Mytilus edulis: one gene and its partners. The protein of the gene in region 1 purifies or fractionates together with the protein of each later gene. This does not show direct contact. Links are inferred from orthologs where the notes say so. Each region holds a gene or a part of one and is shown in the gene's direction. Other genes may lie near its edges. The genes, in order: partitioning defective 6 homolog beta-like, partitioning defective 3 homolog and lethal(2) giant larvae protein homolog 1-like.

Region 1 (10,850 bases):
AAAGTATCATGCATGGTGAGTTGTTTAAGCAGGTTCCCAGCTAGCTTCAACTGGATGAAAAAGTTGTGTAATTTTAGAACTTATCCTGAATGGAATAAATAGCGATTAGGTGTATTTACTAAGGGAAAATAAGAAGTTAGCAGTGGTACCAGTTTGCATTGGTACCAGTTTGCTTTTAGTAGTACAAACAGACATTGGTACGAGTTTGCAATGGTATGATCATGAGATAACTATAAATTCTATCTTAAAGATGTTTCATTTTTTGAAGTTTGAACAGAAGGAAATTTATATAGTCTTTCTTTTGGTAGAGGAAGCCAGAGTACCCATTGAGAACCACAACCTTTTACAGGAAAACTGCCAACTTAAGAATTAAAAGAAATCTGGTTTGTTATTGTTTAAAACAGACAAATAATGTGAATAAAGTTCAGAAATTATAGTTGAAAAGGTACTGGCATGGTGAAGCAAATTATTTTGTCATGATCACTCATCAGAAATACTTTCATTTTGTTCTAGACTATGCTCTTCAACAAAATTACCTTAAGAACTTTGACTGAATTTGTCTTAGTTGGTTCCGTATTCATAAGTATAGCGTCGATCAGCCAAGGTTTGAGATGCGCTGGTTTTTTTCTTGGCATTTTGGATTTCGTGGAGTGTTTTGGAGAAAGGAGATTATAAGATTCGGACAATGTCGGAAATAGCATGAAATATCCGGCTTTAGAAATAACTCCGTCTCTCTCTTTTTTTACAACTCAAGTCTCTTGGTTAAAAATACGCTCAAAATACACAAAGAAGACGCTCCCGACGATGACTAGGAATTAGAGACGGCTGTGTAATGGTAGTCTCATGTTTTGCTAACTGTGAATGATCTCTTTAAAAATAAAGTCTTTGTTTACAGCTTTTTGACTACCTGTTGAAGATCTCTGAAGATACGAACATGGTTTACTTTTCACAAATTTGACTTGGTGGAGACAGAGACATATTACGTAACGGTACCCAAATTGCACAGAGTACCCAAATTGCAATTATTTAGCAAAAGTAGCAGCGGACATCTTACAAGATTTCCTAGAGACTAAACACTTTGTATTTTTATGATTTGACACTATGCACATCTTTCAATATAGGTGAAAATATTTAGATTTTTACAAAACGTTCACAGTATTTATCAATAAATGAAGTGTTTACTGAAAAAGCAAAATGTACTGAAACGTTGCCATGCAACGTCATCAAAACGTCATCTTTTTAAAATGACCAAATACAATATGTTACAAGTATCCATTTAAATTTTTTTGTTTAGAGTAAGCATGGACTAATATCCAATTGTTCAAAATATTTGAAGAATTTAATCAAAAGCTCTGTTATTAGACTTTTGACAATGCAAATTTAAGCATGGATGCAATTTGGGTACTACTTATTTCAGAATCATTGATGATTTGGAGGTCAGTTTAGACCAATTTTTCTAAGATTCCATATGGATTAAAAATCAAATTGGTGTACCTCCATAATAAAGAAGGATACAGCTACAAAATAAACACAAAATGGACATTTTTTTCTTTATAATAAAAAAACGTAGATGAAAAAACTGTCAAAATAGGTGCAATTTGGGTACTGTCATGTTATACACATAGTGTACATATGTCTCTGGTGGAGAGTTGTCTCATTGGCACTCATACCACATCTTCAGGCTTATATCTATATAAAATTATTCATTTAGATTACTGAGAGTTGCCTAAAATAATTGCATAGCTGTGTATAATTTTGCTAGCTTATAAATGCTTAATTTGTTTACACACCTCAGTGGGGATATGGAGATGAATATTTTATATAATCAACATTGTAAATGGAGACTATTTTAAGTCTCAAGAATTGTAAAGAAACGGCAGATATTGAACTTAGACTGGAGTACATTCTGTCTTTTTAACTAACTGAAATAAATGAATGAACACTATCAAACGGTAATTTGCAAACCATTAGAAGATCAGCTATCTTGTCTTGATTGACGTACTTAAAGTCTTTGTCTTCTGTAATCTGTACATGTGCCCCTATCTGTTCTGTGTTTTTTCAGTATTGTTATTTTTATAACCGTGACGTATTCTGCGTTACTATAACAGTTTATCCCATTGCTGTTAAGTTTCTGTCGCTATCTTCTCCTCTCACATATAGAAAAATAGTATTGAACTTTTATTTTTCAAATAATCATGGCATTATCAAAATTGTTTTTTGCTGTTGTGAAATTTCTCGCGATATGGTTTACGCGTACGTCAATGAGATGGCAACCAAACGAAACGGAAAAAAAGCAAAGACATCTAGAGGTCAATAGACATGTTTTTGAATTTGGGTTTTGATGCTCCCAAGCGTTTTTGTTTTTTTATTATTTATTGTGTATAGCCTAATTTGGGCTTTCTAACCTTTTGATCTAGAGCATTCGACCGTATATCCGTTGTAGGTCATTCTCGAAAAAAAATTGTACAATGGATTCATTGTTATATTTCTCCATTATTCCAACTATTAGGAACTTTCACTGAATATTTAGAATCTAATAGTTTGTGCATCTTCTGTTTTACTGTGAAGTCTTTGTAATTTAGTGCATGCATTTATTTGTTGTCAGTTGTATAAGAAGTTCTCTGCCAAAACTTTTACAAATGAGGAATTTCCATTTCTATCTCTAGAATCTCTGGTATCATTTTGTATTGTGCCATGATCTTCTGTCTTCTTAGCACGGAATCGTCTTGTCTGATTTTCCTGTAACGATTCGTCCATTACTTTTACAACTTAAATAAAGGTCATTTATCAAATTTATTGAAATATGAACATCACGTAAAAGTCATTAAAAGTGCGAGTTTATAAGGATAATTATTACTGAATGCCTAGACTGATCTCCTGGGTAACCACTGTATGTCTCTACTTTACATTTGTATTTTAAATTCATACTATGTATGTTAATTTATTTGTATATGTCTCTATACCATTGTACTTTGGTTTACGAGAATAAAGATTTACGCATATTAAACGATTTTCTTTCAGTTAAAATTACTATGCTATTGAAATTATTGAACCAATGCATGAGTATACGTTTTTTTTTACATTTATTACTGACGAATCTATATCTCAACAAATGATTATGTTAAACAGTAATTGTTGATAGCAAGCTTAATAACTTTCGAGTTTGATACCAAAACGTGACATTGATAAACAATCAACACGGCAGAGCACGCGGAACACATGTAAAACGGCTGTAAGATAATTTGGTGTATTCAAGTTGTTCTTTAAATAAAAATCCTTTTTTTTTTTTTTTACTAATTACCTTCCAGTACAAAAGCCAAACAATGAATCTTGATGACTTTGACAGGTTTTATACTAACTTAATATATATATTAAAAGTAATTTACAATCAAAGTCTAGACCATGTTAGTATTCCTCCAATAGCATAATTTAAACATTTACATTTTTAAAAAGAAACTATTTAATACATTATTTAAAATCTAAGGAAGTTCTGTTTTCATATCTATAATAATTCATTATTTAAAATTACTAAATATAACTTACTTTTTACATACTGGGCATGCGGTATCAAAATGTCATAGAACTAAAACCGCTATATAGTGTATAATATTTTACTAGAGTTTAATTTTTGATCGATTTCGACTATGCCTCGGCCTACAAAGGAACTTTTTAAAAGTGTTGTGTTCACTTTTTGTAAGATATTATTGAGTCATGACCAATGTTTCCTTATTATTTTACACAATTACAGTGCATGCATGAGCTGGAATTGTCTTGGATGGTAATTGCAGCGGCCTACTTTGACTGAACATTGCCACGTGAAAAATCCCAACTTTTGCAAATTTTCGGTTTGAACAGAACAAAGTATCTACCCAATTTTGTCCAAATGTGGGGATATTTTTTTAACGATTATATTAAAACGACATAAACATTACTTTCTAACTTTTCTAGTCATATCTGTATCTGTATCTGTCGTGGATATGTCGTATAGTTACCAAATCTGGCTTTTAAAATACAACGGGAGGGAAGGCGCCGTCCAATTTTATTAAGATCATATTGATCTCTGATTTCGTTATATATGCAGTATAACGAAATCAGAGATCAATATTTTAATTAGATTGGGTATATGTACATGATGTAGTCATGATACCGAAATCAGAGATCAATATTTTAATTAGTTTGGGCGCCGTCGATTTACTGACGTTTCGCGAAGGCAGCTTTAAAGCTCTCTACACTTGTTGCGCGCACAATAGTGTCTTCTAGGTGGTTCCAATTTATTGTTGTGGACACACTGAAGGATGAATTTGAATGTTGCGGTGTTTTACTGGTAGGAATGTCAAAACACCTAGTATTGTTTCTCACTTGTTTTTCAACTAAGTTATTTGCTTGATAATTGTTAAACTTTTTAGCTGCATGTGATGGTTCTTCTTGGTCTTCCTAATTTGAGGAAGTCGTCTGGATCAATAGCAGGAACCAGCACCTCAACCACCTTGTACAAAAATATAAGTGTTTGGCTTGTGCGTTTCAGTTGTAATTCCTGTAGCTCTAATTTTGTAAGCATGTTTGTTATCCAGCCATCTTCTCTAGTTCTGTAATCGTCTGCCATAAATATAGAATGTCAGATCAACTGTATCAAAATATTTTTGTGATCTTGTATTATCATAGCTTCATCGATGACTTTGTTTTATTATTTTAATATGGAAAGTCAATGAATAAATTTCATTTAGAATCGGCACATATGTACAGTCAGAGACATATATACACATGTGTATATATGTCTCTGGTACAGTCAACAATAAATATGAGCTTGAAATAGCTCTTACTACCGACCTAAAAATGAACAGATGATCAAGCATTGTAAATAAGCCTGACAAAACTTCACAAGAGACAAAATGAAAAACTGAAAATAACAACTATGTCAACTATATATGTCATCTTACGACTTTCAACAATAAATAAAGCCCATACCCACAGGCACTTGTTTTCTATCCATGGCAAGATCTACGATGCCTATATACTTGCTCTCTATCCATGGCAAGATCTACTATCCCTTTTCTATCCATGGCAAGATTTACTATCCCTTTTCTATCCATGGCAAGATTTACTATCCCTTTTCTATCCATGGCAAGATCTACTATCCCTATATATCGATAGTAGTCTAGATCTTGCCATGGATAGAAAACAAGTGCCTGTGTCCGATTGTCAGTTTTCTCTACATTTTAAAACAGAGATATTATAAAATTGTATTTATACTAGTAATATGTCTCATTTTTATATCATTTTATCATTCTTATATATACTGCATGACAGGTCTGTCTCTAATTATTTCAACGGCCGATTCAAGTTGTACATAGTTAATTAACTCATCATAGATACCAGGACTAAATTTTGTAAATACATGCGCAAGACGCGCGTTTCGTCTACAAAAGACTCATAACTTATTATATGAATCTTTTATTATTTCAAAGGTTCCCGCCTTGGTGTACTTCAGAAATGCTTGTACATGTTGTATTGTGATTAAACATACTTGAATATTTCTATAAATAAGTCAAACAAACAATGAAAAATACATAGACTTTGCAGTTTGCAGAAAAAAACCCACTGCATATTGTTAATGTAAAAGCTACTGTCTAAAACACGCACCTGTCGTTTTGTTTCGAGATTATACTACACAATTTGTGACGTCAGAGGTAAATGTTCATTCATAAACAACATAACACCAACGGTGTGGAAATAGAAAATAAAAAGTATTAAAAAGCCCTTTGGGCTGTATTTTCATCATGTCACGTTCATCGAAGACTTTTTTGCATCAAGGATACAGTTTGTTAGAAGTCAAATCCAAGGTAACTTTTAGTTTTGGGTATTTCGTTATGACCTGGGTCACACCTGTTCAACAGCTTCATCCAGGTAACAATTTTATTACTTCGACCAAAAAAGCGTTATGACGATTTCGGGTTATTTCTTGCCGAACATTTGCAGTTCTATTTTACATTTATAGGGAATGGAGAATAGGAAAATTTTAACACTAAAATTTTCTAAAAATACACCCTTTTATGACAGGTCATTTGCGAAATTTGCATGCTTGAATACACATGTCACACAATGAGTCATTATTTACATATTTTCTTATCCTGACAAATTTTATGTATTAACAACTATTTCATCAAAATAAAAGATAATGGTAGGGGTGGGGGGATTGCACATAGCATAGAAAAAATGGGACTTAGTGTTGAAAGATCTCATTGATACTGTTTATAATAGTAAAGAAGCATTATATTAATTTTCAGTATTTTTTTTTTTTTAGAGTAAATAAAATTTAGCAAAGTGCTAATTTTTGCATTTTTTTTATGACTATTTTGAGCAAGTTGCAGGGCGCTGCACAAGTATCTGTATAGAAGCATTATATTTATTTTTAGTATTTTTTTTTTTAGAGTAAATAAAATTTAGCAAACAAGTGCTAATTTTTGCATTTTTTTATGACTATTTTGAGCAAGTTGTAGGGCGCTGCATATGTATCTGTATGGTATTTTCAGTCTAGAAACTTTTTAATAGTTTTAAAACAATGCTTCAAGATCTTGTTTTGATTTAATTATCTTCTTTAAAAAAAAAAAGAGGGCCATAATGGGGGTAAGTTCAAGATGAAAGATGGTAGAAAATCTTGCAAAATGATGTTAACATGGTTATGGGTAATTTTTGGTGCATGTATTTGACTATACATAAAATTTACACTGATTATGCGGTATGGGCTTGGCTCATTGTTGAAGGATGTATGGTGATCTATAGCTGTTAATTGTGTCATTTGGTCTCTTGTGAATAGTGAATCATCGGCAATCATACCACATCTTCTTTTTTATACTTTCTTCAAGATTATAAACAAATTTTAGCTGATTTTGACAAATCACCTTATTTTTTTGTTTTCTTTCCAAATTAAAGGTAACAATAATTAGTTGACACCTGGAACAAATCACAATGAAAATATTTTAATGAAACAAGCTAAAAATTACTGTTTGATGCCTGAAGGGACAGGACATTCCTACCCTCTTTAAACTTTTCTTATTGGAGCATCATTGATAAGTCTTCTTTAAACTCAATATGATAATGTTGCACTGTATACTTACTACCTAAACTTTACAGATTTTTTGGGTTCCTCTAGATCTGTGCATATGACGTGTATGATGTACATGAATATTTTCTTTGTTGGGATGAATATGTAAACAAACAACACTGATATTTTGTAAACAAATTTCATATTACATATACACATACCAATATACCATAGATTTCCTATGTATTTTACTATAATTTTATCAATTGTAAAATATTGTCATAGACTGGAACGTTTGACAGAAGGATTATTATTTGATGCAATTATATGTTGTAAACAGTTACATAGTTCTAATGTAAATACATGGTATTCTAGTATACATGTAGATTATATTCAGAGAGAGATTGAAATACCAAATTTTGACCAATCAATTGGTTCTTTATGTCAGTATGTTAAAAATAAACTATGTAAAAGTTTAAATCATTTTGGAATAAACTGAAGTATCAAACAATTAACTCTGAAAAAGGGAAGCTTGGTACTTGTTTTTCTATAAAAAATTGTTTTAAAAAAGAAAAATATTTAGAATTAAAAACCAATTGTTCAAAGAACAATTGAAGGTCTTTCCACAAGTTAAGATCTATTTTATTATCAAAATATTAAAAATCAATCTAAAATGTCAGTTCCTATGGCTTTATAATGTATAAATATGAATTTAAAGCAAAGGCCAAATCTAGAATGTGCAAATTACCTATGACCTTGATCTCAATTTCAAGGTCATAAACCAAGGATCTCAAATCAAAAGACCCTAGGTCTTTATTATATATGGTTAATGAGTTATATCACTTTACTCATAATTCTAAATATAAGATGGGCGAAAACTCCTATTTATTGTTTACGCACTCTGTCAACCAAAATTTATAAGTAACGGCATGTCGTAACTAACAATTTAGTGAAAATAAGATGTTGATATGTTGTAAGGTTTTGAAAATAAGTAAAAATAAGCCAAAATAAAAATTTAGAATATGACCTTGACCTTTGACCTTGACCTTATTTTATTTTTTTGGACCAAGGATCTCAAATCAAAAGACCCTAGGTCTCTATTACTTATGGTTTACCAGTTAGAAATGCATTTCACTTATATCAAATACATGAGGGGGAATAACTGTCATATGGAGTCTCCGGATAGCTTCGGTCGAAACTAAACTACTAATCCTGAAGATGTAACGAGCAATTTGGTAAAATAAATTTGTCGTAATCTTTTACGGTTGCGAAGGAGTAGTGGCCACAAGAAAAACAGTGTTTGGGGAGATAACTCTTACAACGTAAAGTATTTTGTTACGCGGTTGAAAATTTTTAAAGCGTATAAACTATACGATATCATATTCCAAATATCTAAGCGACATCTTTTGAAACATCAACAATACGCAAGAAAAAATTTAGGCGGAAGAAAAAAAAAAAAATAATAATCTGACAGAACAAAATCAATAGGCTAGGTCTTTCCACGGAAAGGTGGAAAGACCTAATTAAAAACTAAGAATTTATCCATGTTTATGTCTTGTAAGATGTTTTATTTCTTTCCTGTTTTTCAACATTTACATTTGGAAAGTTGAAATGTTTTAACTGAATGGGTAAATTTAAATTAATTATGAAAATTGTTAAAATTAGACCAATAACGGAAATTACTGCCCAGTTACAAACAGTACCAGGGGATAATTCATGATGATTTCTTTTTGAGTTATATGTTTCAGCACATGGATATTTGACTGGAACTTTAGCCTGGTAAACGTGTTGTAAATTGTGAAATATAAAACATATTAAAAATGACTCTCTTCTAAAGTCTTTTATTGATATAAAACCTTCTTACTTCTCACTAGACAACACTCCTGTCAGGTTTAATTATTATATATACAACTGTATGTGGATGAAAAATAAAAGTTCCCAAAACATTAACATGGCAGCAATTGCTTTTACAACCTTTAAGGCTTTGATTCAGTTGCAGCTGCTTGTTAACATTAATGTCTAATCTAACACTTTTTGTAATGGAAATGTAAATGTTTTGGATAATATATAGTTTGTTGGACTGTTGAGTTGTTTTTGAAAGAGGCTGTCCAAGTAAATATCAGGCAAATCTTATGATGTGGGTGGCACAACATAATTTTTTTCCCACTGAATTTTTGGTTCCAATGCAATGTTTATGTCATACAAAGGATATATATGTCAAAGATATTTTTGAATCAACAGTGGATGGCTCAGAAAATGATTTTAAAGTTCACTAACAATGCAACAAAATTTGGTACAAAATGAAGAGTTATCTCCCCTTTTCAATGAATTTTCAGTACTTTCTATGTATTTTTTCTTTCTTCCAGTAAATAAAAAACAAAATTTAACTTGGAGAAAAAATTAATTTGTGATATGAAATAGATGAAAACATTTTGAAAACAAAATATGTCATGTGCCATCCACTGCCTGGTTTTTCCATGGACACCCTCTTAAAGTTAATCAGAGATATCCTAGTTAACAAAATGACATAACTTATAAGCTGTATGTCAGTTGCTGATCAGGAATATGTTTATAAAACTATCTGCTGCTACACATTTAAATTCAACATGCTACATTTTGTACATGGTGTTTGGGTTGGGTTTTTTTTCTTCATCAAAAGCTCCTTAGAGCTATACTATTTCATGTATAAAAGGAATATGTAGTGTTTATCAATGAGACAGCAACTAAATTACACAGAGCAAAAATGACATCTAGAGGTTAACATGTGGTTTAGTGTCTATATAATATATGATAACCTCTATATTTACATGCATAAGTTCAGAAATTTGTGGAGAAATTTAGCAGAGACATTCAAACATGGCCAATTTTTTTAAAACAAATAACAATGAAAAGTGAAAACAATAACATTTTCTTACTTCTGAGTCCTGACATCAGACACATATATATATTTAATATGTTTAGTGACAAAAGTCCAAATTTAAATGACATGATTTGGGCTTTAATTTTATGTACACCTCTTGCAGTCTTGTCTAACAAAACATTACCAGATGCAAATCCACAATTTTGAACAAGGGTTTTATAAGGGGGTGGGGCACCCTGATCCCTTAAATCCACCCCTGATCACCATTGTTGTTTGAACCATTTTCTGTCAGACTAATCTTTAATGCTGAAATGTATACATTTACTACTTTTATTTTCAGCTTGATGCAGAATTCAGAAGATTTTCAGTTGACAAGTCAAAACAGCGCAAATTTGAAGATTTATATACAAAAGTAGAAAAGCTGCACCGTTTGAAGAATGACCCATTTGTAATAACATATTCGGACAAAGATGGTGATCTGCTTCCCATTAACAATGATGACAATTATAACCTTGCCCTTCAAACAGCCAAACACCTTCTACGTATTATGGTGCAACGTAAAGGTTAGTATGCTACAAAAAAAATCTCAAATATTAACCTCAAACTACTTTTCTGAAGTTATGTATTGTGTAAATATTTTGATTAGAGATCAATTGATTTTATTCAGTGGGAAGGATGTGTTTTTAAGGCATCAGAACTTTATTCAAGAAAATTAGCTTGTTTTGAGAGATAAAAACTACACATGGATTTAACAAGTTAATCATCGCTCAGACTAATATAGATATCACACATGTACATGTACAAACCTAACTAACATAGATTTAAATAGGTATTTTCTGTCCCATGTTATATAATTATACATACATGATGTACAACATACACTTCCTTAGGTTTTTTTTAATGTTTTTTTTTTCTATTTTCTTAAATTTACATTTGTAACGGTTATAT
Region 2 (10,519 bases), on another chromosome or scaffold:
GAAAAGTTTACTTCATTGCTAAGAATCAATTGCAGTGTTATGAAAAAAAAAAATTAAATCTGAAAATTCAATTTCGATGTTATTTCAATGTTTGACTTGTCTGTTCACTTTTACAAGGTGGACTGATTGAAAATGTATATTAGACAATATCAGGAATACTGAATTAACTATAAAGGTACAAATCATGAAAAGGCAATAACATGGCTAGGGTGATCTAAACTTTCCAGATATCAATCTCAATCTCAGCAAGAACCAACTGTATAAGCCTTAACAAGTCCAGTGTTTGCAGAGACAACCACAAGTATTCTTTTCTATGTTAGGAACAAATATACCTTGGTTTCATTGCACAGATTCGATATCCAGTAAGATTTGGTCACCCCCTATCCCAGAAGTAAGCAACATAAACATCAAAGAGGCAGGTGAACTTAATATGCTACTACATTGTTTTCAAAATAACGACCAGATGGGCAATAGGTACGTAATTGGACCCTGGTGTACTGTTGTCTCAATGACAGTCATACCACATCTACTACTTTTTACATCAATCCGAGTGTTGAAAACTGAGGTTTGCAAGGTGGTGAACAAGAGGCTTTAACGAGCCTGTGTCGCTCACCTTGGTCTACGTGCATATTAAACAAAAGACACAGATGGATTAATGACAAAATTGTGTTTTGGTGATGGTGATGTGTTTGTAGATCTTACTTTACTTAACATTCTTGCTACTTACAATTATCTATCTATAATGAACTTGGCCTATTAGTTACAGAAATATTTTGTTAAAATTAACAAAAATTTACAAAATTTATGAAAATTGTTAAAAATTGACTGTAAAGGGCAATATCGCCTTAAGGGGTCAACTGACCATTTAGGTCATGTTGACTTATTTGTAGATCTTACTTTGCTGAACATTATTGCTGTTTACAGTTTATCTCTCTCTCTATAATAATATTCAAGATAATAACCAAAAACGGCAAAATTTCCTTAAAATTATCCATTCTGGGGTGGTAATCCAACAATCGGTTGTCCGATTCATCTGTAAATGTCAGGGCAGATATATTTTGACTTGTTAAACAATTTTACCCCTGTCAGATTTGCTCTAAATGCTTTGGTTTCAGAGTTATAAGCCACAATCTACATTTCACCCCTATGTTCTATTTTTAGCCATGGCGGCCATCTTGGTTGGCTGGCCGGGTCAACAGACACATTTTTTAAACAAGATACCCTAATGATGATTGTGTCCAAGTTTGGTTAAATTTGACCCAGTAGTTTCAGAGGAGAAGATTTTTTGTACAAGTTAACAGACGACGCCGGACGACGACGACGGACGCAAAGTGATAAGGAAAGCTCACTTGGCCCTTGGGGCCAGGTGAGCCAATAAAAAGGGACAAGACTATATAATCGAAACTTCAAAGCCTAGTGTTTTAAAAGCATACTTCATGACTTGAACTTTAATATAGCCAACCTTTTAAGAACTACATTAAACTTGGAATAAGATCGATAATCATGTAGTTGCAATACAGCAACAAAGATTCCCAATGCATATTGAAACCAAAACCGGCAACGCCATTGTAAGAGAGAAAAACTATCAAAAGACGATTTGTCAAACGACAGTCTGCAAAGCACAACATGGGAAAACGATTGAGTGAGCAACTTAAACCCCAACAGAAAAAACCTAGAGTTTTCTCAGGAGTAAGTCATGTAATGTGTGTATATCCTCAAATAGAATTGTGGGTGTGTGAAGCAATTGAGACCTCTATTGAAGAAGAGAGTTGTGTTTACCTCCTTTTTTTCATATTTTATGTATTAAAGGACATTCTGTTTTTGCAGTCAACAAGTAGAAACATGTGCTTTTTTTTCATGATAAAGAGAAAATAAGCAAAATTTGAAAAATGTTTGTTTCATTTATCAGTATTTAACTGACTTATTTGTTTGTTGTTGAACATTTACATATTTATATCGACAGTTTGGAATTAAAATGTTTTGGTCATGATAAATTTGTTAACCTTCATGATCTTTTATGGAACTTATAGCTAATCTTCAAGATCAAGAAATAACATCTATATATTTTTAAATCGTACAAGTGTGGACACAGATCAGTGTTGAAAATGTGTTTGGATGTTTTACATTGTTTTCATAGGGTTCTATGTTAAACTGTGTTGCAAAATTTTAACAGCCAACTTGTACAAAACACTGAAAACTAGCAATGTTTACTTTTGATGTTTAAGACTGTCTTGGAGGAGACACTATCAAATGGGATTGTTAACCAAATGATTCTGATAAAATGGGTTTCATAACTTTGATTTGGGATAGCAGCAAAAACTATTTCAATTTGGAAAGGAACGCATTAGATGCACTTCTGCACGAAGCGACTTAAATAAGCAAGATTGTATGTATCTATGCATCTGAATGCGTGTAGTTTTTGTATGGTTCTATTTATGTTCCTTTCTTGTCGACATTTCTTACTTGGGTTTGTCCACTAAAACTGTATGTTTGTGAAGGATCTTCCTAGTATTATTAGTAAAAGATTGCAAAGGCAACTGATAAAAATTCTTACGGGTCAAAAACATTATTAAATTGAGAATGGAAATGGGGAGTGTGTCAGACAACAACCCGACAAAAGAGCAGAAAACAGCCGAAGGCCACCGACGGGTCTTCAACACAGCGAGAAAATCACGAACCGGGAGGCGGATTACAGCTAGCCCCTAAAAATGTATACTAGTTCAGTGAAAATGGACGTCATACTAAACTCCATGTACGGTGACCTGTATAGCTGTTAGGTTTCTGTGATATTTAGTCTCTTGTGGAGAGTTGTCTCGTTGGCAACATATCACATCTTCTTTTTTATATTCAAAAACATATAAATGAACTAAAATTAAAAATCATACACGACAAACAGGGGCCAGTTTACAAAAGTTCTAGTCCGATGTCAGAATAGGTACTAAACAAAATCTCCATGATACATGCAGTCACTGCATGACAGCTCCAGTCACATAATGACATGTATACTGATTGAAAGATTATGTCTTCCTCAAATGAAAATTAAGTACAATTCCTCCCATAACAATGAAAAAAAACCTTACCTTTTTAAAATCGGTTATGAAAGGTCATGACATGAAAACAAATTAAACAATTGCATTGAAGAAAAAAAAATATTGGTCAAATTTAAAAACAAAACAATTTACGATAAAAAAAAAATATGACAGACATGAACCAAAGACAACCCTTAAACTATAAACTCTTGGCTTAGGAAAGGATAAGCACACTTTTGTCAGTTTAGAAGGCAAAAAGAACTGCATGTGAAACGTTTTGTTTGCTTTGTGTTGAAGGCCTCAATGTTACTTTGAGATGACGAACAGCATTAAAAACGCTTCTCTTTTGCTTTTTCGAGTTGTTTGCTGTGCAAGTACTGATGGTGTGGCATGGATGGTAGCCCATTTCCTTTATGTTACTATGTCCGAAGGTGTTCTTCGGATGATATTGAAAGTACTTGAAAAAGATCTCAGGAAAATTAAAACAAACGGACTTTTTAAAAATATCTGAATACCTTTTATGATCTTTTAAGTTCTTTTCGAATAGGGCAAGGTTGTCAAACTGATTTTGAAAATGAATTTTTAATTATAAAAATGAATTCCTTATATTAAAAATTGCGGATTTCTTAATATTTAACTAGCTGTCAAATTCATAATCACCGATTTGACTCAAATTCTCATATTTGATTTATGAAAATGTAAAACATTTATCCAAATTATAAAATAACCAGTATACTGGGCATATGCTCGATAATGTGTAAGTTCGTTTCGTGTGTATTTTAGTCTAGACGCAATCTGATTAACTTCCGATTAAAAATAAATGTTAATTATCGTTTTTAATTATTTATTTATTATCGAATCAGTTTGATTTTTGTTGCAAAAGAGGGACGAAAGATACCAAAGGGACAGTCAAATTCAGAAATCTAAAATAAACTGACAACGACATGGCTAAAAATGAAAAAGACAAACAATAGTACACATGACACAACATAGAAAACTAAAGAATAAACACATGAACCCCACCAAAACTAGGGGTGATCTCAGGTGCTCCGGAAGGGTAAGCAGATCCTGCTCCACATGTGGCACCCGTCGTGTTGCTTATGTGATAACAAATACGGTAAATAGTATAATTCGGTAGGTCACATTCATGAAAGGGAAGGGGATTGTAGTTACGACGTAAGGAACAAATCCGATATCATTTGTTAAACGGTTGTTCCATAACGGTCAACCAACTCGTGATGGCGTCCGTAAAATTTACGGACAGATGATTTCAACTTCACCATGATTTCAACTTCACCATTTGGAACTCTTGGTTTAATAGCTTCCTTGTGAGCAGCAACCCTCTATCAAGAAAATCATGATAGGAAATGCAAGCCGAACGGGAATATCGTATCAATTGGGAGATATATACCCCGTATGCAGGTGCTGCTGGAATGTTGCTACTTAGAAATGGAAAGTTCACAATTGGAAAGCTGAAATCATCTCTTTTGAGTGAAGTGAATAATTCATCATCAATGTTTCTTAGCTTATTTTGACTGACAAAATTGAACCATACTGGCTACTAAAAGCGATATATTATTTCACTATTTCTTGATTGAATAACAAACAAAAAAATCAGATTTTGTATTTATCTCGTACTGAGCTAGTGCCCTTTTAAGAAATAGTGTTTTTCTTTTTTTTATATTAGAAATTAAGTTTTCAATATTAGAAAATGATTTCAAGGCTTAATATGAAAAAAATATTTCTTAATATCCATAAAATGAATTCTTAATAATAAAAAATGAACTCTTAATATCAAAAATGAATTCTTAATATTAGAGAATAGCTCTTTTTGTCCACTTTTGCTTGCCATAAAAAAAGTGACAGGTGCACGAAAATGCACAGTATATGATATCAATCAAAAGCCTATCCAATGTCCTTGTTCTTCTGAAACATAACTGAATAAAACAAAAACAAAGGTGAGAGAGGTCATTTGAACAATGATTCTAGGAATATTTTAGTATTTCAACAACAAGCAGACAGCCGGCAAAGGTGATCGCCTCGCAATCTAACAAAAATAAATGAACAGTTACATCCCTTAGGAAACTCCAAAGCGGAAACGAGGCAAGTAAATATATCTCAACATGATATGTGTCATCAAAGTTAATTGAAACAGTTTACCTTGATTGTTTTCTGCCAGATAAATGATTAAGATTGTTGTAAAGCTATACCAAGTAATTCAATTTTGTATGGGATTACCGAAAACTTATTAAAAAGTGTGATATTGTGTCTAAAAACTGCGCAGACGACCGTGTTTTACCAGGTGTTTACAAATATAATTTTACTTCGGGTATGTCACCCGACCCCCGCGTCTTTTAATTTCCTGGAGTATCAATTCATTTCTTCTGACACTGGATTATCACTGCAGAAAATAAGGTACGTTTTCGTATTCAGATTCTGTATCCAATTTCTTGTCACAGTCACAGAATTTAAACATGTTAACAGGTTAAGCCACATACTGACATAGTCTAGAGACTAGATACAGATACTGATAGTGATAGCAAAGTAAAATCGAAAGAGTAAAGGATCTAAAAGTAGTCTCATAAAAGTAAAGCAATATCGAACTCATTATTCATTGTACATTTATAGTAGGTTGCTGTTGTACCATAAATACATTATTTACACCACCATTTGGTATAGATATCTTTCCTTTCATGTATATGTACAACTACGGGTGGGCTGTAAGATCCTAAGGGTATTGTATACATTACATGTCCATGTACATGTGACATATATATGAACTAGGTCACTTCTGTCTGATGAACATAGAAGATGCAGTGAAATCACTAATAGTAACAATAATTAACAATGAAAATGTGATGTTTTGCTTATTTTTAATTTTTAAATGATATTTTCTGTACCAATCAATGATTTTTTTTATTATTTCTGTCGCCTGTCGTACTGACAATACTTGTAGTTTGATTGGATTTTGAATTTATTATTTTTCTTCTGAGAAAATCTTACAAGATCAGATTTATTTGTACAATTCAGGGGTGGTTCTAGACATTTTCAAAAGGAGGGGTTCCAAACCCAGGATAAAGAGGGTGTGTGTGTGTGTGGTGTCCCAATTCAAATGCATTGATCGTCAAAACAAAGGTAGAGGTTCCCAACCATGGACCCCCCTTCTGGATCTGCCACTGCAATTCATGTGTTAATTCGAGTATGCACAATCATGACAATTGAAAGTTCAAAATTTTTAAAGTTGTGATATTTGTATATTATTCAATTGTTTTTCATCTAATTAAATATTTTTTTTACTAAATTAGATAATAAACTACATGTAGTAAGAGAAAATTCATGGAGGATTGGTCATCTCTAATAACATTAAACTAAACTGCTTTGATATTTTTTTTTTGCATTACAATAAAATGTTTGAAGGGGGATATATAACACATAGAATTGGTCAGGAGGCAGGAAACAGACATGTTTTTGTCTACCTCACTTATGAAGAAACAAATGTGAAAAAATGATAAGTACACATACTGCATAGACATGTTCAATGTATACTAAAATTTTCAAATTTATTCAGGAAATAAAGCCATTTACAGAGAAAGATGTAACCATGAGTATGCTTAGCTGAATCAAGGCTCCTTTTTTGAAATCATGGACCTGTCACAAGGTCTGCATATAAATCTATATCTACAAAGTACATGCACATTTCATATTCAGATTCTGTATCCAATTTCTTGTCAAAAATGGCATCACAGTCACAGAATTTAAACATGTTAAAGAGCCACATAGTCTAGGATATACAAAGTACATGCACAATATACATCTTCCTTTGCTAAGCAATGGTTATTACATTGCAAATCTTGAAATGTGCATTAGGCGACATTTAAAAGAATGCATGTTTCCCCTCCTCTGGTCTACCCATTAAAAACAGACCAGGAAGGCAGGGTTTTTTTTTTTAGCGTAATGTCCTAGCATGGTGACATGAATGGTTTGACTTGTTCAGTTGTTTGTGTTCAATTTGAGTGTACATGTACTCATTTAGATTATCAATCCCTTTGCTTTCAAGCACTTTTTATTGAAACAATTTTTTTAACCTCAAGGCTTATTTTTGACCAGGGTGGGGAGGGGAAACAAAAATGTAAAAATTTAACAGTTAATAAAATTTTGTTAATTTCAGGTTGATCATACTTTTCGTTGATGATGTAGATATATAGATGTGAATGATCTGAAATGCATAGGTTATGTACATGTGTAGACTGTTACAATTGGTTTCATGAAGAATGCCAATGAAAGTGACCGTCTGTTTTGATAGAGTCAGAGTTATTGTTCCCTGTGGAGATGGTGAGATTCCAGTGCATAGTTTAATAGAAAAGGCCATCACAAGATTTAAAAAAGCAACAGTTAAGGTAAGTACAAGTGTACAAAAAAATGTTATCCTATAGGATTGTTTTCTAGTTTGAATAAATAACATGTAAATATACAAAAAGTGAAAAAACATCGGAAAGAGTATTTAAATTCCTGGTCAATACAAATGTATATATACAATTACTTCTTTCAAGATGTAGTTAAAGTTTTGTTCAGGTAGTGAATTTTGTATGTGCATATATATATATTAAATCCAACTTATGTAATGAAATAGACATCAAGAACGATCAAATCTAAACATTTGAAATACAGGGATGTGTTTATATATGTACATGTACACTAAAATGTTAGGGATCTATGACCAAAAATAACCATAAAATAAGGTATAGGTGATCAACAATGAACAGAAAGTACATTGTGTATGTTAGTCTAGATGAGGTATCATCAATATATTACATGTACAATGTTCATGTATGAATTATAAAGATAGTTAGATACACAATGCAAGTACTGATATACGTTTCGGTTCAAAATATAAATTTTCATGTACATTGTACATGTATGATGCATTGTAAGGTATACATTCTGAATTCTAAAGGTTGGTTTGAATATTCGCAAAATAAATATCTATCTATTCAGTAAAAGTTTTTTGACGATCATATGACTACTTCAGTGTTTTAAGAAAGGTGGTTGAATACTGCTACTTTTTGTCCATTGACCTGATAGCTTCACTTTTGGCCAAAGCCTTGTTGACCTAGGACAATTTACATGACATGAACATGATTTAGAATACTATTGATTTCTAGTTAAATGTGATGGAATATCTAAGGTAAAGATATAGTTTTGTAGCGGAGATTTAAAATCTCTGTTTACAAAGTCCTGATTTGGTCAGCGTATTAAACAAGTGAGTGAGTCAAAATGCTACAATATATTCTGTGGTTTATTTTTGTGTAAAATTGTATTTGCCTACACAATTCTTCAAGAAAAAATACATTTTTTGGTAAAAAGTACACATTTATTACATGTAAATACAAAAAAATATGCAGGCAATTTTTCTTTAAACTGATATAGTGTAAATCATCTCTGTATAAAGGTGAATCACTAAGAATATATATAAACCTTTAATGAACTTGAATTCTTATCATGGTAAAGTTGATAAAATAGTTTATTCTACAATGGATCATATATTAATAAATGGATTTATCAGATTGTGATATTGTCATCATAATGTCTAGGTTTAAGGTTGTCTCAGATGGTTGACTCCAGTACTGTTAAGATATTTCAGTTATGTAAGATTATCAACAGAATTTACACCTTTATCTGACATTTATTTGTTCAAATATTACCCCATCTTATTGAATTATAAGTAGGTCAGTATCTGTTTACCTGAGGTTGTTAAGAAGGGGTGTGTCTTAGATTTGTTGTGCACTGAAGGAGACAACTGATAAAGGAAGTGAAATTGGTTTACGCTTTGTCCTTTTCAGATATTGATTGTCTAAATTCATTTGAATACACCACATTAAACATTGACAATAGGATGGCCATCATGATCCTTTAATGTTATTAATTAATCCATTTTAGTTATCTGTTTAATTCCCTGTGGATTTGACTTGCATATCATATGTCCTTACATGGTGGTTAATTGAATCTTACTAAATTTGGTAAAACATTGAAACATGTATCTGTGAGATTTATAATTAACTCTAAAACCCACATGTATGTAAACATTGACTTGATTTTGTTGAATAATAAGCATGTCATAAATGTTCTTGTTAAAATTATGTCCAATCTGATTAAGCTAAGTATGGACTTAAGTCTATTTTTTTTTGGTAAAGGCTGTTATGAACCCTAAAAAATAACAAAACAGGGACTGACATAAACACTTCTCACGTTAACATATTTTTGCTAAAACCATGATATATTACAAGTTAAATCAAGCTTTTTCCATTTGTTTTGTTTAAGGATGTTTGCTCCTCTACTTTTTGAATTTTTGCCCGATTTTCGAAATCCTCTGGTTTTATCCAGATTTATCCATGAATTGACATTAAAAAAAATTGCCCACTAACCACTACTTTTCTTTTCATATTTTTATTACATATTATTTAAAAAGCCATATTCCAAATCTTATGAAATCCTTGTTATTTTTCATAGTTTTTTTAAACAAAATAGGTGCCAATGTTAAGTGAACGAAAAATCTAGAGAGAATTATTTCCCGCCAAATTTTCAACAGCTTATATCTCGAAAACAAGCACACGGACCCTCCATTTTTTTCTGTTTTTTTAGTTTCTTTATTTATATACTTCGCTTTATAACGGTCTTTTAAAAAGCTTGTTATTTTTAAACAGAGTAGCGAACATCCTAAAATATTCTTAGGTATTGTTGTAGTATTATCAGAGAGAGTACAAATGTACATGCAGTCAAATATTTTACATTTAATTTAGATATAATTTAAAACTTAACATTTGATCACCACATGCTTGTTGTCAGCTCATCAACATGATGAAATTCAATTATATTTTGTGAATTAATTATTGAGATTATTTTTATTTGTCTTAAAACTTTTTAGTGGTATTGTGCTCCCTTTGAGTGGGCAAGGTAAAGCGCCACCCTGGTCAAATCAACGATTTTAGAATTGATACTTGTTCAATGTTGTTTCTCAGCTAAGCATGCAACAATAATGATTGAAAGCACAGACTGGTCTGCCCAGAGTTAAAATAATATGTCAGGTTATGATGTTTACAGCCCTATGACCTATCATGTTAAAAATTGGTTCAGAGTGTTGGTAATGTTAGTACATGTACATGTATTAAGAAAGGTTGATATTCATATCACTTTTAATATTTTCACTTCTGAAGTTGAACATACATTTAATTTGCCACTGGATACTAAACATTTAGCCATCATTTATCGTCGTCATCCTTTCAAAGGAAATTAGTAGAGAATAAATTTCTTTGCCAAAATTTTAGAGAACTAGAGGCTCTAAAGAGCCTGTGTCGCTCACCTTGGTCTATGTGCATATTAAACAAAGGACACAAATGGATTCATGACAAAATTCTATTTTGGTGATGGTGATGTGTTTGAAGTTCTTACTTTACTGAACGATTTTGCTTCTTACAATTATATCTATAATGAAC
Region 3 (10,580 bases), on another chromosome or scaffold:
CGTGTTTATTAGCAATGTTCTCGTTAGAAGGTACGCACACACGCCCGTGCTTTCTATTGACGCTTCCTAAAACACTGGCTGAGTCTTGTTATCATAACTTTCCCTCAGCTTTTCAAAAGAAGCAGAAAACATGCTTCTATTTAATATTTTTACCGGACATTCACTTTCGTTTTAATTCAATGTATGTTATGGTAAATCTCGAGCAATGCAAACAAAATATGACTAAATGACACACCCTAATTGGATAAACGCAGAGAAGACCGAAATGTTTTCAAAAAACATGTGTACCTATTGAGCAACGGGAAAACTCCAACAGAGATGCAGGGATCTATTTTTAGAACGAAAGGAGATTTCCAATTATAACTATTATAAACATAGATTTATGCGACGACTGTAAACAGATAAGGGTAAATAACGCAAACAGTAGCCAATTAAAGGGTTGAGAACTCATGGTTTGGGCAAATAATTGTGTTTTCCTTTGAAATAATTGAGTTATTGAACCCTGCAATGGGCAATTGCATTGGGTTTTTTATTATTTTTATTCAGTGATCACGCAAATACGCAGCTTATCTGGAGCTCTGAATTAATATAAAATTTTTATGTGCCAGCTTGAGGAGTTGAGGGCTAAACGAGTAAAATACCATTGCAAAGAAGCAAGAAATTGTATAAGGAATGGTATAGTTACAAATCCTTGAAAGAAGTGAAATGAGAACAAAATAATGGCTTCTTATCTACTACCTGAACGATAACAGTTTTTTCGTGTTTTCCTCTGTTGGTGTTTATCGCCCGATTTACTTCCGTTTACATGGTCACGCTAACTACCATAAAACAACAAGTGCGTTAATAAATCAAAGGGCTTGATAGCTCTAATAGCCCAGTCAAACTAAGATTTAACCTCAAACTAATTGCAAAAGAAAATATTTTATTTTTAATCTATAGCACTATGCCCTATATATACACAGATAAAAGTCAAATAAAATCTAACTTGAGGAAAACTCAAAATCAGCATTTTTAATTTCCTATGGAAATTAATATTGACTCTTGCAAAAATGAGTCTTTTTTTGGTCATTTTTTTGTTGTTTTTCTTGAAATTTATGTTAAGTATGATACGTTGATGGGGTTATAAGTTTGTATTTGACTAAATTATATAATCTTCTGCTCATGAAATGTACAAAACCGAAGTGTAATGGGTAGTTTTATTTTTTTCATGCATTTTTCATTCAAGAAATTGCAAATTTGAAGCTTTATAATTGTGACCATTTTGAGAAAATAATGTGAAAATTTGGTATTGTTTATATCTGTATATTATATTTTTTCAGCAACACGATACTTAACTTAAGAAACTTTAAACCACAAAAAGAAGAATACATGCTTAATTATTTTGATTACATTTGAGATTCTTTACCTTGACATGTTGAAAAATTCAATAGATATGGTCAACTAATGAATTACGAAATCTAGATTATAGCTTGATAAAAGATATGAAAACACCTTTAAAGTTTATGCCCTTTATGTATACAGAAATCTAAGTCCATTTTTAAGTAAAATACGGAAAAAAATGTAACTTCTGGATACTATCTTATGATCATAAACAAAGCTTCTGTCCAAGTTTGGTAGAAATCCAGGATAGTTTTAGAAAGTTATTAAAAATTAAAAAACTTTAACCACAGAGTGAATATTTGTGGACGCCGTCGCCGACGACGACGGAGTTTAGGATCGCTTAGTCTCGCTTTTTCGACTAAAGTCGAAGGCTCGACAAAAAGATGTGGTAAAGTAAGTAAGTAAGTAAGTAAGTAATTTTTATTGGTTTAAAATCCAAAATTACAGGATTGATACCAAGACAATACAAATTTGTTATACACAAACATACAAACATATATATATCATACCAATTTCATAAACATTATATGAGGAGGTGGTACCACAAAGTTATTTAGTGCTTAATAAAGCATTTCTAGAAATGTAAATGTCGCTTATAAATTTAACAATAATTCTAATCATATTTAAAAAAGAGGGAACTATTTCACTAATTTTGGAAAACAGTTGGTCTCTAATTATATTTAGTTTTGTACATTTTAAAGTAAAATGAAATTCATCTTCTACTTCTAAGAGGCACAAAGGACAAATTCTTTCTTCTACAGGGGATTTAGTGTGACGCCCTTGTTCAATTCTAAGAACACTATTATTAATACGAATTTTAGCAAAATTCCCTATTACTTTTCTGTCTATATTTAACAATAAATAGGTTTCCAATTTATAATTTTCTTTAAGCTGTCTATATGTTCTCAGCTTATTACCATGTACTGATTTATTATCACAAAATATATTTTCTTTCCAATAATTAAGATATCTATCATTAAGTTTGGTATGAATTGCATATAATAAACGCCTTTTTGAAATAGTATCATGATTTTTCCAAACACGTGAAAAATTTAATGTAGCAAGTAACTGTTCAATCTTTTTAGCAAATCCATTGGTTAATTGCAGGTTGGAACAATATACATCTTTTAGTAAACAATTGTTATCAGATTTGATCACATGCAACAAAAAGCCAATTGACAGTTTTAAAGCTTCTATAAAAACTGGATACATACCAAGTTCAGCTAGTACTGCTAAATTGACAGCTGATTTATTTATGGTATGAGTGCCATGAGACAACTCTCCATCCAAGTCACAATTTGTAAAAGTAAACCATTATAGGTCAAGTACGGCCTTCAACACGGAGCCTTGTCTCACACCGAACAGCAAGCTATAAAGGGCCCCAAAAATGACAAGTGTATTAAAACCACTTACAGGAAAAATAAAATGCTCCGCAGGGCACAGCTTGATACGACCGCAGAGGTCGAACCCTGAACAGTTGGGGCAAGTATGGACACAACATTCAAGCTTGATACAGCTCTGAATTTGTGTTGTGATTAAATAGTTGACACAGCATAGGTTTCTGACACAGAATGAATGTGGTCTAAGAACTTAAAAATTTTAAATTGGACATTTACCAATTATGGTCCAATATCCAAATCTAAATACATGGTTAGATTTAGCATATCAAAGAACCCCAAGAATAAAAAAAAGTTCAATTTTGGACCCTTTAGACCTCAATGTGGACTAATTTGATAATGGGGCCCAAATATCAAAAATATAAATACATAGTTAGATTCAGCATATCGAAGAACCCCATATATTCAATTTTTGTCGAAATCAAACAAAGTTTAATTTTGGACCCCGACTTGGACCAACTTGAAAACTGGACCCACAGTCAAAAATCTAATTACATGATCAAAGAACCCCAATAATTAAATTTTTGCTAAAATCAAACTAAGTTTAATTTTGGACCCTTTGGACCTTCATGTAGACCAATTTGTAAACGGGACCAAAAATTATGAATCTAAATACACTAAATATTTCTTGCTATTGCGCAACACTGTGAAACTGAAGATTTCTTGCTATTACGCAATATTGTGCTATTGGATATTTCTTGCTATTGCGCAATACTGTGCAATTAAATCTTTCTTGCTATTGCACAATACTTAATATAATAATTTACACATCCTGTTTGGTGTATATCTCCTGCCATATTATTATTTGCTTTTATATATAAATCAGAAATAACCAACTTAAAGTGGAAAATTTTAAGAAAAAAAAGGGAAACCCCCCCCCCCCAATTTTTTTTAACCCTCTTATGATTCATCACCCCCAAACTCAATACCAGCTTTCCCTTTGTAGTATGGTATCTTGCAGAACAATTTCAGAGAGATCCATACACTTGAACACAAGTTATTGTCTGGAAACTAGAAAAATGCTTAGGTTTTTTTTTTGCCCCTTTTTGGTCCTAATTCTTAACATTAAGGGCAATTACCCCTAAACTCAAACCCAGCTTTCCCTTTAATTGTGATATGGAACCTTGTAAAACAATTTCACAAAGATTTGTACACTTACACACAAGTTATAGTCCTGAAACTAGAAAAATGCTTGTTTTTTGTCCTTTTTTGGCCCCTAATTCCTAAAATTTGGGGCAATTACCCCCAAAATCAATCCCAGCCTTCCCTTTGTGGTATGGTACCTTGCAGTACAATTTCAGAGAGGTCCATACACTTGAACACAAGTTATGGTCTGGAAACTAGAAAAATGCTTATTTTTGGCCCCTAATTCCTAAACGTTTCGGGCATTTACTCCCAATCTCAATTCCAGCTGTCCCTTTGTGATATGGAATCTTGTGGTACAATGTGAGAGAGATCCATTCACTTAAACTAAAGTTATAGTGCGTAAACCAATGTGTCTTCGGACGACGACGAGGACGACGACGACGCCAACGTCATACCAATATACCGTATAAAAATGCAATACAAATTGTATCAACACGGAAATTGTTCGACCTGTTAGGCAAATGCGTTTTGTTTAAATATACTTTTTCACTTTTTTGGTCGTTTGGAAAATGTTGTTTGTGTTGTATTTAGACCCTTCTACAACGAAATTTGTTTTACATGCACACGTATAAAAATTGCTGTTTTTATCCAACGCAATCATAGGTTTGAACGTAGTTTTAAATTTAGACTCGTTTATCGTCTAAACATCAACCCAACACTGTTAGATCTATTTATATATTGAAGATAAAAGGCATGAATATGACAAGCACTATATAGTCTATATAAATTAAAATGACACATGGATATAGCACAAGACATAAATAGTTACAGACACTAACATGATTTACATGTTTTCTAAAAATTATAATATGAAAATAAAATTATGAAAATTGTCATGACATTTTGATAATATTAATAGACTAGATTATAATGAGTGAAAATTTCGAAAGACAACCTGATACCTTAGGATGACCCACAACAGTTATTGAAACTTATTTCCAGTGGGGTCCCTTTAAGAAGAGACTTCCAGTACATACCTATACAGATTGTCCCTAATTTTGAAACTGCTAATCCTTAAAAAGTAAAGCTTTTAAAGGTATGAAGCCAAATTTTGTTGATATACACGAGCATGTGCTGTTATAAATGAATGGAATGACGTAAAAATAAAAAAATAAAAAGATGTGTTTCAATTTATTTGACTGCAACCCAAAATTCTACAAATGTTATACAAAACCTTTCAGTAATGATATTTACTCTATATTATCTGTCTGTCTGTCATAGATTTATTTGTGAATGAAAAAAAAATATTAAAAAGAGGAAACATATTTTGGCAATTCTTTTAATGCCTTTATTAAAATTTTGATGTTCTATCAATGTTCCGTTGATTTAAATATTTTCATCATATAGTTATTTTTTGTTTCAATTCCACTCTAGGAAGTGCAACTGAAAGTAACACATTACAAATATCACTGATTTTATGGTTCTGGTCCTTCCTAGATCAAATATGTACATGATTTATTTGAAACAAAGAAAAGTATATGTAGGTTTATAATTATATGAACATTCAATATTTCATTTCCGTGTGAAAATGTTTTACGAAATCCGAGTTTATTGTTTTGTGTGTGTGGATGTCATAATTGTAACATTAAATATTCCTTTTCTTATTCGATATCTTTGTAATAATTTCATCAAATAGGTATACCTATTAACAAATGATTTTAGAATGTGTACACCTCTTTTACAATCCTACATCTATCCCAAGAAATCCTATCAAAATGATTTTAACACTTGAGAAAGTTGAAATACACACGTTCAGAACTTTTCTAACTCATTGTTTCCTGTGGTCAAAACTCATGCAGTTGTTAAGTCGGATTGTAAATGTTCACGTTCTAAGTATCAGATTGACAGGAAATAATGAACCATAACAGATGACTTTACATGTTAAGGAGTAATCACTACCATTGAAAGATTAAACGGAAATCTTGCTAGTGTTGTACACGATCGAACATTTAATAATGACAGAAATTATTAAATTATAATGACCCCCTGCCGCCCCCTAAAATGCACAGACCCCCTCCGCTGATAAATAATGACTGTTCTCCAAGTGTACAGACATGATCATCTACTCATTACAGCCTCAGACGGGATGCTATTCTATTTTTAGAAGCATTGAATCACCATGGATTTATAATGAGATATGTCTGACTATGTGTATATATGGTACCAAATTGGAACAAAGAAAAAGGTGAGTTCTAATCGCGCAGTGCTATTCATTAGGGTTGTATATAACAAGCAGTCTCTGCATGTCAACTTCACACATAATACATGATGGTCTTGGAAGAATAGATTCTGGGTACTGACGTTAATAACTACATGTACGTGTTATAGTGGACACTTGTCTCTTTATTTTTCCTTGTACATTAAATTTTTTAAATCTTTTCTGTTTAGTCAATTTTTGGTAATATACTTTTGGGGTGGCTCGGTACTTATACATCCGACATTTTACAAGATATTTGAACATATTCAAATGACAGGGGATGGGGATGACCGCTGGGTCAAGTAGGATAAACGGTACTGTAGTTCCTTCGGAAGAACAGAGTAATAAATCGGTTTAACTTAAGAAGTAAATCGGTGTATATGAACATAAATTTACAGACTGACAAGTCGACAGGTTGACACTATATAGGTCGACAAGTTTAAAAGTTGACAGGTTGACAAGTGTTAAGGTTGACAGGTTGACAAGTGTTACGGTTGACAGGTTGACAAGTGTTATTGTCGACAGGTTGACAGTTTGATAAGTGTTAAGGTCGACAGGTTGACAAATGTTAAGGTCGACAAGTTGACAGGTTGACAAATGTTAAGGTCGACAGGTTGACAGGTTGAAGGGTTTAATTTTACAATTAAACAAGTAAATAAAAGTACATCATCCATTAAATAAAATAAAATTAACTTCAGTACTGTAGTTCCTTCGGAAGAACAGAGTAATAAATCGGTTTAACTTAAGAAGTAAATCGGTGTATATGAACATAAATTTACAGACTGACAAGTCGACAGGTTGACACTATATAGGTCGACAAGTTTAAAAGTTGACAGGTTGACAAGTGTTAAGGTTGACAGGTTGACAAGTGTTACGGTTGACAGGTTGACAAGTGTTATTGTCGACAGGTTGACAGTTTGATAAGTGTTAAGGTCGACAGGTTGACAAATGTTAAGGTCGACAAGTTGACAGGTTGACAAATGTTAAGGTCGACAGGTTGACAGGTTGAAGGGTTTAATTTTACAATTAAACAAGTAAATAAAAGTACATCATCCATTAAATAAAATAAAATTAACTTCAGTACTGTAGTTCCTTCGGAAGAACAGAGTAATAAATCGGTTTAACTTAAGAAGTAAATCGGTGTATATGAACATAAATTTACAGACTGACAAGTCGACAGGTTGACACTATATAGGTCGACAAGTTTAAAAGTTGACAGGTTGACAAGTGTTAAGGTTGACAGGTTGACAAGTGTTACGGTTGACAGGTTGACAAGTGTTATTGTCGACAGGTTGACAGTTTGATAAGTGTTAAGGTCGACAGGTTGACAAATGTTAAGGTCGACAAGTTGACAGGTTGACAAATGTTAAGGTCGACAGGTTGACAGGTTGAAGGGTTTAATTTTACAATTAAACAAGTAAATAAAAGTACATCATCCATTAAATAAAATAAAATTAACTTCAGTACTGTAGTTCCTTCGGAAGAACAGAGTAATAAATCGGTTTAACTTAAGAAGTAAATCGGTGTATATGAACATAAATTTACAGACTGACAAGTCGACAGGTTGACACTATATAGGTCGACAAGTTTAAAAGTTGACAGGTTGACAAGTGTTAAGGTTGACAGGTTGACAAGTGTTACGGTTGACAGGTTGACAAGTGTTATTGTCGACAGGTTGACAGTTTGATAAGTGTTAAGGTCGACAGGTTGACAAATGTTAAGGTCGACAAGTTGACAGGTTGACAAATGTTAAGGTCGACAGGTTGACAGGTTGAAGGGTTTAATTTTACAATTAAACAAGTAAATAAAAGTACATCATCCATTAAATAAAATAAAATTAACTTCAGTTTTTAACCTTTTTTACAAGTATTGAGTTATAACTTTTATATCTTTTTTTTCAATCAGTCATTTTGTCAACTTGTCAACCTGTCGACTTGTCAACCAGAACTTACTTGTTATTATATCAAATTATCAACTTACCAACCTGTCAACCTGTCAACTTGTCGACTTGTCAATCTGTCAACCACTTATTTCAACCATAACATTTTTTAAATTGTCAACCTGTCGACTTGTCAACCACTTATTCCAACCATAACGTTTTTAAAATTGTCAACCTGTCGACTTGTCAACCTGTAAATCACTCATTTATTTCAGTTTAATGTAAAATTTAAACAGTTTTAACTTTATTACTCATGAATACATACGCGTATGAATTTATTGCAAAAGCCGGAACTATAGTACCGTATATCCTACTTGAGCCTGACCGCTTTGGTCTTACCCTGTATATCATTCAAATTATTTTGGAATGATAAATCAGAATATATATGGTTTAGGGGTTGGGATCTGGACCATTTACAAGATATATGAACATTGGGGGTGGCGGGACCCCTAGGGACTGACCCTTTTTATCAATCAAATATTCGTGACATGACGAACAGGAATATATATGGTCTAGGGGTGGGGATCTCGACCGTTTACAATATATTAGATCATTGGGGTGGGGACCCCCTGGGGACTCACCATATATATCATTCAATTCCTCGTGACATGACAAGTGCAAGGGCTGTATAGCCAGTCAAGGTCGTAAAAACTTCCATATATATCATATTATCATAAAATTGTTGTAAAATGATTCCCTTTATGGGTTCTTGATTAGATTAATATAATTCTTATCTTATCTTATGTACATGAAAAATAGGAATATATATGGTTTAGGGGTAGGGATCTCGACCCCATATATATTATTAAAATCATCCTGACATGGCAGAATATATGAGGGGGAGGACAGGGGTAAGGGAGACAGGGAGAAAGGGGGTAGGAGAAAGGAGAAAGGGGGTGGGAGAAAGGAGAAAGGGGGTAGGAGAAAGGAGAGGAAGGCTGGGAGAAAGGAGAAAAAGTTTGAGAAAGGAGAAAAAATAAAATATCTCTCCTTTTAAAATTTTTTCTAATATTTCAAGAAAAAATATCTCAAAAGGAGATTTTTTATTCTAATGGGAGAAAGGAGAACGGGGGTAGGAGAAAGGAGACAAGGGGTGGGAGAAGGGAGAAGGGTACCCCCCTGTCCTCCCCCTCATATATACTAGGCCAAAAATGAAACGTTACATTGGTTTTTAATTTGAAAATAATTATCACATATATTAATTTCAAATATTTTCATGATGAAAACTAGTAACCTGAATGATTTACTCATTTATAAAAATATCGGAAATGACTTGACGTCATTTTCTGATTTCAAACAAATAACCATTTGTTCAAAAATTTACCTGTATAGAGTTGGAATCGAGTTGTCCTTTTTGTCATTTATTGTGTCGAACACGATTGTTAACAAAAGGTCGCATTAGAAAATTTAAAAAAGTTACACGTAAAACAGTGCCCGTCTACGCCAAAATGAGAGAGAACGAGCTATTGCGATGTTGGCAACAGGAATGACTCAAGTGCAGGTTGCAAATCATTTGAATGTCTCTAGAATGAATATTGCAAGGCTTAAGACTCGTTTTTAATAGAGATACTGGCACAAAAATGATCGCCCCCGTAGTGGCAGGCCACATCCGCATCATTCATCTCCGGAATCGATTTGTAAACACAAACTGCACGAAAAACCCACGGAAGACATAACAACAGAATATCTGCTCAAACAGTTCGTAACCGATTGCGTCTAAGAGCGCGTCGTCCGTTGAAGGGACCTATCCTTACGCAGCGTCACAGGATGGCGCGACTTCAATGGACACGGGTACGGATTCGATGGAATAGGCAAACATGGAGACAGATTCTTTTTACCGATGAATCCAAATTCAACTTGAAATTAAGCGAATGCAGAGCCAGGGTCTACCGGAGACGCAATGAACGATTTTCTGATGCGTGCGTGCAGGAAACAGATCGGTTTGGTGGTGGCGGAATCATGGTATGGGGCGGAATTGCCAGGAACGCACCGAGCTCAAAATCATCGTTGGTAACCTAAATGCAACAAGGTATAGGGACGGAATTCTGGCTCCAGTTGTTCTCCCGTGTTTCTCTGAAGACATCGTTTTAACCACGTTTTTTCAGCAGGACAACGCCCGTTGTCACGTGGCACACATTTCGATGACCTTTTTGGAGAATAGCCATATTCGTGTGTTGCTTTGGCCAGCAATGTCTCCAGATTTATCACCAATTGAACATCTTTGGGACAACTTGGACGACGCGTATCAGAAATAGTCAAAATCCACCGGAAACGCTAGCCCAGCTCCGAACAGCACTTTTCAGGGAATGGAACAACATCCACGGTAGGTAGAGTGTCCGGCTAGGATCGTGTTTTTTAGAGTGATTTGGTCTATTTTTTTCGATTGCAGTTCGGGCTTTTTCAAGTGATAAAACATGCGATAAGTTCAATTAACGGATATTTCGTAATTATAACAGTTTTTAACATTACTACCCATCTTATATTGAATACTTTATATGTTTTGATCAACAAAGAAGCTCAA

The links.
Region 2: the proteins of partitioning defective 6 homolog beta-like (region 1) and partitioning defective 3 homolog purify together in Drosophila melanogaster (affinity purification with western blotting; 7 studies listed by BioGRID). This does not show direct contact. The link is inferred for Mytilus edulis from reciprocal best matches to the Drosophila melanogaster genes par-6 and baz.
Region 3: the proteins of partitioning defective 6 homolog beta-like (region 1) and lethal(2) giant larvae protein homolog 1-like purify together in Drosophila melanogaster (affinity purification with western blotting; 5 studies listed by BioGRID, with this or other methods). This does not show direct contact. The link is inferred for Mytilus edulis from reciprocal best matches to the Drosophila melanogaster genes par-6 and l(2)gl.

The regions. Positions count from the first base shown.
Region 1 is NC_092348.1:80,172,138-80,182,987, forward strand, and holds the start of partitioning defective 6 homolog beta-like, read left to right. Parts: upstream 1-5,655; 5' UTR 5,656-5,777; coding exon 5,778-5,840; intron 5,841-10,242; coding exon 10,243-10,465; intron 10,466-10,850.
Region 2 is NC_092345.1:88,188,392-88,198,910, reverse strand, and holds the start of partitioning defective 3 homolog, read left to right. Parts: upstream 1-5,111; 5' UTR 5,112-5,444; intron 5,445-6,602; exon of another isoform or gene 6,603-6,687; intron 6,688-7,197; 5' UTR 7,198-7,300; coding exon 7,301-7,426; intron 7,427-10,519.
Region 3 is NC_092352.1:31,188,396-31,198,975, forward strand, and holds the start of lethal(2) giant larvae protein homolog 1-like, read left to right. Parts: upstream 1-5,761; 5' UTR 5,762-6,060; coding exon 6,061-6,108; intron 6,109-10,580. UniProt on the Drosophila melanogaster protein: Essential for the development of polarized epithelia, for cell polarity associated with asymmetric cell division of neuroblasts during development, and for oocyte polarity formation.